2 linked regions of the Macaca mulatta genome follow. The protein of the gene in region 1 purifies or fractionates together with the protein of each later gene. This does not show direct contact. Links are inferred from orthologs where the notes say so. Each region holds a gene or a part of one and is shown in the gene's direction. Other genes may lie near its edges.

Region 1 (4,347 bases):
AGCTGCAGTGTGCTGAGGGCAGGCCCGCCTGGGCCCTCCTGCTGAACGCAGTGTCCCAGGCACAGGTGTACGGTCATTGCATGAGTGGGTTTCAAACTGTTTTTAACCCCTGCAGGAGCAGGCTGGAGCGTTTTCTATGGCTACTGAAGGGTGAATCCAGAGTTCAGGCTGCCACTCTGGGGAAGTGGTCAGCACTTACCGGAATGGTCCCTCCAACATCTGAGCGAGGAAGGGGCACAGAGCACAGTTGTGCCTTCCTTGGGCCTGGGCAAGCTCTGTGCTTCACAGAGCAAGCCTGTGCGGATCCTTCAGCAGAGACCACAGCCAGGGGTGGTGAAGCTTAAGAGGAAGTGAGGGCCAACCAACCGGCTCAGGCCGTTCCTCACAGGAGCCTGGGGCAGGCTGACCCACGCAAGACCACAGCTCTCGGCCCTGTGCTATTTCCAGGGCATACTTATAGATCCTGAATGGTAGAGAACTTCCTAGATAAAGCAATGACAGCAAAACAGCCGTGTACGCAGATATCTCGTGGGAAACCCTTTCACGGCCACTTCGAAACTGGGTTGGGAGAAGGACCTGATGCTGGGTCAGGCATCGGTTGGGGACCATGGACACGTTTGTAGAGTTTGGGCCAATGCTTTTGTGTAATTTGTCAGAAGGAACACCTACTTCCTCACTCTTGTGAGGAAGAACCCACAAACTGGCCCCCGTGTTCAGAGGCTCAGGTCGACAAGTTGAGGGGACAGCGGGACTTCTCCTTCTTCAGGCTGGCTGGAGCCTTCAGCAAGGGGTACACCGTCCACACGCCTCTGTAAAACAGCATTCGAACAGGACATCTCTAAGGCATTGTCCAACTCTGACAGTCTGTGACCTTCTACCCTGGGATGGAGGGAAAGGCCTTGGGATACAATCCACACATCATGTTTTCCCCTAAAAGTACCACCCTTTTTAGTCCCTGCAGACACTGGGTTCAGCAGCTTCTCTGAGGCAGCCCCATTGAGCCCAGGGCCGACCACAGACAAGCACTACCGTCCACAGAACCTCACGCCCGGTGGGGCCAGACGTGGAGGCTGGCAGAGGAGAGAAGCTCCAGGGGCCTCTCCATTAGAAACCAGCTTGCAGGCCACTTAATCTCCTACGCTCAGCCTGTGCTTGGAAGCTGCTGGTTCTTGGCTGCACATTTGCTTTGTTTGAATCAATTAATCCAAGTCTCTCTCCTCTCCCTACCCCCAACCTTGCCTTTAGGGGAACATCAATATTCATGTAATAAATAAATCACACAAAAAGCTGACTCCCCACTTCCTGCCCTACAGGCCCTTTTTTCTTCCTCATCCCATGTGCAATCCTGGCTCCCAGCAAGTCCCCGGGGCTGCTTGGTCAATGCAGCCCTGTGTGCAGGCCTGGCAGCCCTGCCACCCCCGCCCTCGGCCCCCATTGGCTGCCATGGCCTGCAGTGGGCTGCACCAGGGTTCATCCGTCCTCCCTGGGCAGATGGAATAAGAGGCTGCCTCTGCCCACTAGACCTGCCGCCCAGGACCCGCAGCAGAGACGAGGCCTGCAGCAAGGAGACCAGGAAGGGGTGAGACAAGGAAGAGGTGAGAAAGAGCCAGGCCAAGAGGACGCTCAGGAAGAAATGGTTGTTTTCGTTTGGGTGGAAGGGAATGGAGGGGTAGAAACTAAATGGTAGCTTAAAAAACCCCTTTAGGACAATTGGCAGCACTTCAGAAGTGTCAATAGGATGATGTGTTTTAATCTCTACATTATTGCTTCTTTGTGGACACCTGACTGCATCAGCCCTAGGCAGCTAGAGGTATTTTTCATAAATCAGAGAAACCTCAGGTCTCGGCCCAGAAGTGATTGCTGACATTTTCCCAGTGGTGCTACAAATACTACCTCTCCTGTAACTACTTGAAGAGTAAAGATTTTGCTTCCCACTGCAGCTGGAAATGATGGAGAACCTAATGCTAGTTTAGTCCATATCCTAAATAAACCCCTTTTCTCCTTGTTACTTTTTCCACCGCCCTGGGTAAGTAACTCTTCAGTTTTCCAGTTTCCCTCAGTTTGAAGTGCCAGGGTGACAACAGCCCCAGGACGCCACTCAGAAATTACGTAACAGTTACAAATAAATTGGGTCAAAGAAATTGGGGTTTTGGTGGGTTTTAACTTTCTTCAGTCTCACAGTTTCTTAGGGAGGTCGAACCCCTAGAGGGATCCTCACACGCTAGGTAACGTGTCTTTCTAAGGAGTTAAAGTTCAAATGTTCTCTTGTTCTCAATATTAAAAGATTAATGTAGGACATTCACAGAATGTGAGAAAGAAACAGATATTTATTTCCATTTCTCTTAAAAGATAAACTATAAACCATCAACTATTTATTAAGTCAAAGGGAAAAATTTAACAAGAATTTTTTAATTGATTTGTAGCGTGGTTATGAAGAAAACCATATTTTCTAGTGGTTTCTATTAGTGTTCTAATATATGGAATACATGTTTTATGCCTTTCCTTTGTAATAATCTCGTTAGTCATAGTTCATAGAAAAACAATTTAACCTCCTTTTCCCCAAATCATCATGGACTTTGAGGAGCATCAGAATGATGTAAAAGTGTCTTGTTTTGTTTTGTTCAAAAAAAATACACACACATATATCAATAATTGAAAACTTGAGTGCAAAGAATAAGAAAAGCATGAAATGTTAAAGATTTTAATCCATCTTAACTGTTCTATTTATGAATTACCAAATTTTTAGGGACTCAAGAGCAAAATAAAGTACACTGATTATTAATAGAATGCCTTTAGCAAAGATCTGGCCAGCACAAAAAAATCTTCAATCCTGTTTCCTTTGGAGCATCAGAAATAAATAAAATTTTTAACATCTAATTCCAAATTATTTTTAAGATGTAAGTCATATATTCAACATGGGAATGATTTTTCAACACTATTTATTAATTTATTTTTAATTATAACAGTGCAAATGTTCTTATTTGATGATTAGAACTCAAGGCCAAAAGCTGGTAAATTTCTCGGCCTGCCCATCTGTTTTGTGAGACAACTGACAAGGCATCCTTTGTAGAAGGCGCCTCATTCCCAGACTGATGAGATATTTCCTTGGTTTGCAGGCTGTGGCGTAAGGTACTTGCTGTGAGGGAGGTCGGAGGGCTCTTACTTTGACAGCTGCAGAGAAACACCTATTCCTGCCCCGTCCCAGTCACTGCAGTGGATGAACCAGCCTTTCCCTGCACTGGAGGTAGAATGCAGGCTCAGCAGCTCAGCTTCCTGCCGGATTCTGTCCCTCCCTGCCACAGAACCACACGCATTTAATCAGTTAAACTTAGGATACATTTTTTTTCCTGGTAGATCAAATAACTTTCACTGTTATTCTTCAAAAAGATTGTGGCAATTCTACCATATTTATTTTTCCAGATGAATTTTACAGCTATTTTTGTCATGTCACACATCCAAAAAAAATTCCATCATTTTTATTAAAAATGATTTAAATTTACATATGAATTTAAAGGAAAAACTTCCTACATTTTATGTTCCTCCGAATCTCTTGGAAGGACCTGCATTTTTCTTCCTAAACTTAGTCTTAGATCACATGCTATTTCTATATGAATAGGATATTTCGCACTGGATTTTCTATTTCTTTATTGATAGAATATAGGAATGCTCTTGATTTTTGTCTTATTTTGCTCCTAGTCACTGTCTCACTTTCAGATTGATTTTAACAGCTTGTAGTCGATGGTTTGCTCACCTGCACTCTACCACCTCATCTTGGAGCCTTACAAGAACAGAGAGGGACCCTGTGGGGAGGAAGCAGAAATTTAACCCGTGAATTCCTTTGCTGCTCTGCGTCTGTATTTTTGCTAAAGATTCCCTGTTGGACCAACCCAACCAGAAGCCAGAGGGCATGGGAATATATCCCTGTGGCCCACAGAGACAGAGAAGGCTCACATCTGTCTAAGAGGCAGGTGGAAGGATTGATAAAGGTACAAATTCCCAGAATGCCCCTCCAGGTCATGCCTGCTGTTCCGAGCTTGAAAAGAGTGCCAGGGCCAGTCCATCCCCCTTGTCTGGGTTGCGGTCTGTATTGATAACCTGTGAAATGTTTTATGATGAGGTATAGATGAGAAGGCATCTTTCCTTTGCGAGCCCCTAGGATGTCTGAGCTGGAGAAAGCCATGGTGGCCCTCATCGACGTTTTCCACCAATATTCTGGAAGGGAGGGAGACAAGCACAAGCTGAAGAAATCCGAACTGAAGGAGCTCATCAACAATGAGCTTTCCCATTTCTTAGAGGTGAGTCTTGCTTTTTACACTTGACACCTTCTCCATCTCCTCTTAAAAAGCC
Region 2 (4,574 bases), on another chromosome or scaffold:
AATAAAAAAAAAATTAAAAAGAGAAACACAATTGCATTTGCACTCTAGAGAGAACACCGTGGTAACTGTGAGGATCTGGTTGGCAGAAGGGAGACTACAGCGTAATCACAACGGAGATGGAGACAAAAGTAGACACCTCAGAAATAAACACAGATTGGATGTAGGGCGTGAGGAAAGGAGCCTGGGGTATTCCCAGCGGGAATTGAGTACTTCTATGAATGGAGAATATAGCAGGAGCAGGGTCAGTATTTGACACGTGGGATTTGAAGTGTCTGCGCTATACACAGGTGAAAGTGTTCATTAGCTGAAAATACCAAGGGACTTCCAGATGATCTGGTCTGGTGATACATATTGAGGGGTCCTCAGCAGTTATAGGCGAGTGTAGAAAAGGTTACTGAGTGGGCAAAGAATAAACGGAAGAGGGCCGGGCGCGGTGGCTCACACCTCTAATCCCAGCACTTTGGGAGGCCGAGGCGGTTGGACTGCCTGAGGTCAGGAGTTCAAGACCAGCCTGACCAACATGGTGAAACCCCGTCTCTACTAAAAATATTAAAAAAGTAGCTGGGCGTGGTGACGGGCGCCTGTAATCCCAGCTACTTGGGAAGCTGAGGCAGGAGAGTCGCTTGAACCCGGGAGGCAGAGGTTGCAGTGAACCGAGATCACGCCACTGCACTCCAGCCTGAGCGACAGAGCAAGACTCCGTCTCAAATAAATAAATAAGAAAAAGAAAAAAGAAAAAACAGAAGAGGGCTGCGCTCATAATACCGTTGAATACCAATATCTGAAGGGCAAGCCACAAGGTGCAGGGGGCAGAGGCATCCCTGGTAAGGGAAAAGAGTTCTTTAGAAAAGAACTTGCAAAGAACAATGTCAAGGGATCTAAAGGTAGGGAGTTTGGACAGAGTTCCGCTTTAGCATCTGCATCTCAAATACCTGGGTAATCTGGTGACTGCTGCCGAATCTAAGAGGACTGAGGCCAGGTTGCCAAACTGCGGAGAGTGGGGTTGGAGGGCTTTTATGGCAGTTTGGAGCCTGCTTGTGTCCGACAAGATACCCTGGGCCACCTTCTCCGAGTATTGGTGCAGAGGTTAGCTGGGCCGGCAAGAGAAGGGAGATGACCCACTACTTTGATTTCAGGCAGCAGACACCCGCAGTTTTTCGGTTAGAGTTGCGGATAGGGCGGTGGCCCTGGGGGCGGGGCTATGAACCTGGGCGGGCATTCCCGGCAGGGCAAGCTCAGCGTGAGCCCGATTGGAGGATGGGCTCTACCTTCTTCCTTCCGCCTACGGAGACGGTAGCGGGATGCAGAGCGGGGCCGGGCTGAGGGGGCGGAGTTGGGGGCGGGGTATGGTGACGCTAGCCCCGCCTCTTTCCGGCCGCTCTGGGCGGTGCGGCAGGGCGGTGTCGCTCGGGCGGTCCCGCTGGGCCTGGGCCTGCGGGGTGGGGTTGACGGCATGGGCGGGGCCTCGGGGACCCGGGCAAGCCCGCGCACTTGGCAGGAGCTGCAGCTGCCGCTGTCCGCGCCTCCGAGGTTTCACGGCTTCTTCAGCGGAGACCCGGGCTCGGCCGCCATGTCCGCCGCAGACGAGGTTGACGGGCTAGGCGTGGCCCGGCCGCACTATGGCTGTGAGTGCGGGGCTCTGCGGCGCGGGGCTTCGGGGCCGAGCTAACTGCAGACGAGGCGCGATTTCCTTGGGGGCTCGGCCGGGCGGGTGGGGCAGGGCGGCTGCCGGCAGCTCGGACCCGGAAGAGCCGCCCGGGTGGGTCGGCGGGCGGGGAGGCCCCTGGTGCTCGCTCCCTCGGGGTCCGAGGCGGCGGAGAGGACCTCCGAGGCCTCCCGCCCTAGCTGGGGCCGCGGTAGGGGGGAGCCCCACCCAGCCCCTCCCGTCGCCCAAGCTCGACCGAGATTGGGGAAGACGGCCTAGGGTGAGGTGGCAGGAGGACCGCGCAGGGCGTGTCCCGGGGACTGGGGTCTGGGTACGCGGGCTCTGCCCGTTTCGTGGAAAGGCGCTGCCCTAGTATTGCCTGCGGGGTAGACCAGGGTCCAGACCTGTCCGGCCCCAGGCTAGGTAAGAGGTGCCGTCCTGGGCAAGTCACTTAAGTTTTCTCGGGCTTAGTTCCCTCCTCAAGATTTCAAAAGTAAAATAGTAAAAAAAAAAGAAAAAAAAAAAAAAAAAGAAACAAAATCCTAAGACTTCCTCATTTTCTGTTGTCGGCCCCGGACGTCATTGAACTGCAGGCAGGATTGGCTAAAGGAGGACCCTTTGAGATTATGAGGTTTTCGATTTTATTTTATATTCTGGGAATAATGTTCTTTTTTAAAGGATCAACATTTCACGCATCAACAGTTATTTGTGAGGTATTGTGCCACATTTATGAAATTAAAGATGAGTAAGATCAGGCCCTGCCTCCAAAGAACGTTTTAATCAGAGAGTCGGACAGGTGTGCATGCTAATAATTATAAGGTGCAATAACGATGAAAGATGCTGAACTTACTAGCCATACAGAGTAATGTAGGTAAGGAGAAGGGGCTTGGGGAAGACAGTATGAGCACGGAAGGTGACTTTTTTTTTTTTTTTTTGAGACAGAGTCTTTCTCTGTCGCCCAGCCTGGAGTGCAGTGGTGCAGTTTCAGCTCACTGCAAACTCCACCTCCCAGGTGCAAGCGATTCTCCTGCCTCAGTCTCCCGAGTAGCTAGGACTACAGGCGTCGGCCACCACACTGGCTAATTTTTGTATTTTTAGTAGAGACAGGGTTTCACCGTGTTGGGCAGACTGGTCTCAAACTCCTGATCTCAAATGATCTCCCCGCCTCGGCCTCCCAAAGTGTGAGCCACTGCACCTGGCCTGAAGGTGACATTTGAACAGAACCTTGAAGAATGCTGTGTAGAAAGTTTGACAGGTGGCCAGGCATAGTGGCTCCTGCGTGTAATCCCAGCACTTTGGTAGTCCAAGGTGAGAGGATCGTTTGAGGCCTGGAGTTTGAGACCAGCCTGGGCAGCATAGTGAAACTCCATCTCTAAAAAAAAAAAAAAAAAAAAAAAAATTAGCCAGGCGTGGTGTCCCACGCCTGTGGTCCCAGCTGCTTGGGGCTGAGGTAGGAGGATCATTTGAGCCCAGAAAGTTGAGGCTTCAATAAGCCATGAATGTGCCACTGTACTCCAGCCTGAGTGACAGAACAAGACCCTGTCTCAAAAGAAAAACAGTTTGATAGGGCATGTGGAACAAGAGACAGGATTTGAGGGAAGGACATGAACAAAGGTATTGAAGAGTAGCGGGACACTGTGTTGGGAACTGAGTGGTGTGGACTGCACAGTGATGGGAGGAAAGGCAGAGGAGAGTTTCCAAAAATAGTTGGGACCAGACTGGGAAAGGCCTTGAATGCCTTCCCAAGGAGTTAGGAATTTATTCCATACCTGGTGCCCATGAAGGAAGCAGATTGCTTCAAGGTTAAGCTCAGGCTTTGGAGACAGACTCTCCGGGTTTGGATTCAGGCCCTGCCACTTATTTGCCATGGGCCTGGGCTCACCCAGCCTCAATTTCTTCATCTGTAAAATAGGACTGATAATCACAGGATTGTTGTGGGGTTTCAATGAGAGAATGCATGTAAAATGCTTAGTACAGTTGCTGTCACTTATTTCTCAATAACTGCTGGCTTTGGTCATTAATAAAAGAGGGAAACAACATTATCAGATCTGTATTTAGAAGGAGTTCTGGCAGATAGGGACAGATTTCGGCCAAAATCTCAAGACAGTATTTTTCAAGATTACACTAAAACTTAGTACATATTTATACTATCATCCATGTTTAAAAAGGTCAAGATGAGTATAGTTGAAACCACATAGTTCTTGTTTTAGGAAAGTCATTGTAGTACATCTGGCTAGCTACACACTCATTAGTTACCCTGACTTTCTAGGTGAGTAGCAGGAAATTGATACTGTGGCAATCTTTTATCACTCAGGAACCCTACAGATCCTGGTGTTTACATTCTTTCTTTTATGTTTTAGCTGTCCTGGATAATGAAAGACTTACTGCAGAGGAGATGGATGAAAGGAGACGTCAGAATGTGGCTTATGAGTACCTTTGTCATTTGGAAGAAGCAAAGAGGTAAAGATTGGCTGGCTAGAGAGAAGATTAAGAGAAGGGAACTGATAATAGTGTGAACACAAATAAAGATTTCTTTGAGGCTGAGCACAGTGGTCCATGCCTGTAATTCCAACACATTGGGAGGCCAAGGTGGAGGGGAATCACTTGAACCCAGCTGTTTGAGACCAGATTGGGCAACATAGTGAGACCCTGTCTCTATAAAAAAAATTTAAAAAGTTAGCCGGGCATGGTGGTGCGCGCCTGTAGTCCTAGCTACTTGGGAGCCTGAGGAGAGAGGATCACTTGAGTCTGGGAGGTCGAGGCAGCAGTGAGCTGTGTTCTCATCACTGTGCTCTAGCCTGCCTGGGTGACAAAACTGTTTTGGGGGCAGGGGAAAAAAGAAAAGATTTATTTGGTATATTACAGATGTAACTGGGAAGCTGGTTGTTGAGGGAATAAGTATAGGTAGGGTATTTATGGCAATAAGTAG

What was found.
Region 2: the proteins of S100B (region 1) and IQGAP1 purify together in Homo sapiens (co-immunoprecipitation; 3 studies listed by BioGRID and IntAct, with this or other methods). This does not show direct contact. The link is inferred for Macaca mulatta from reciprocal best matches to the Homo sapiens genes S100B and IQGAP1.

What each region holds. Positions count from the first base shown.
Region 1 is NC_133408.1:985,784-990,130, forward strand, and holds the start of S100B (protein S100-B), read left to right. Parts: upstream 1-1,525; 5' UTR 1,526-1,595; intron 1,596-4,149; exon of another isoform or gene 4,150-4,156; 5' UTR 4,157-4,157; coding exon 4,158-4,295; intron 4,296-4,347. UniProt on the Homo sapiens protein: Small zinc- and- and calcium-binding protein that is highly expressed in astrocytes and constitutes one of the most abundant soluble proteins in brain.
Region 2 is NC_133412.1:80,274,651-80,279,224, forward strand, and holds the start of IQGAP1 (ras GTPase-activating-like protein IQGAP1), read left to right. Parts: upstream 1-1,505; 5' UTR 1,506-1,570; coding exon 1,571-1,625; intron 1,626-4,005; coding exon 4,006-4,105; intron 4,106-4,574. UniProt on the Homo sapiens protein: Plays a crucial role in regulating the dynamics and assembly of the actin cytoskeleton.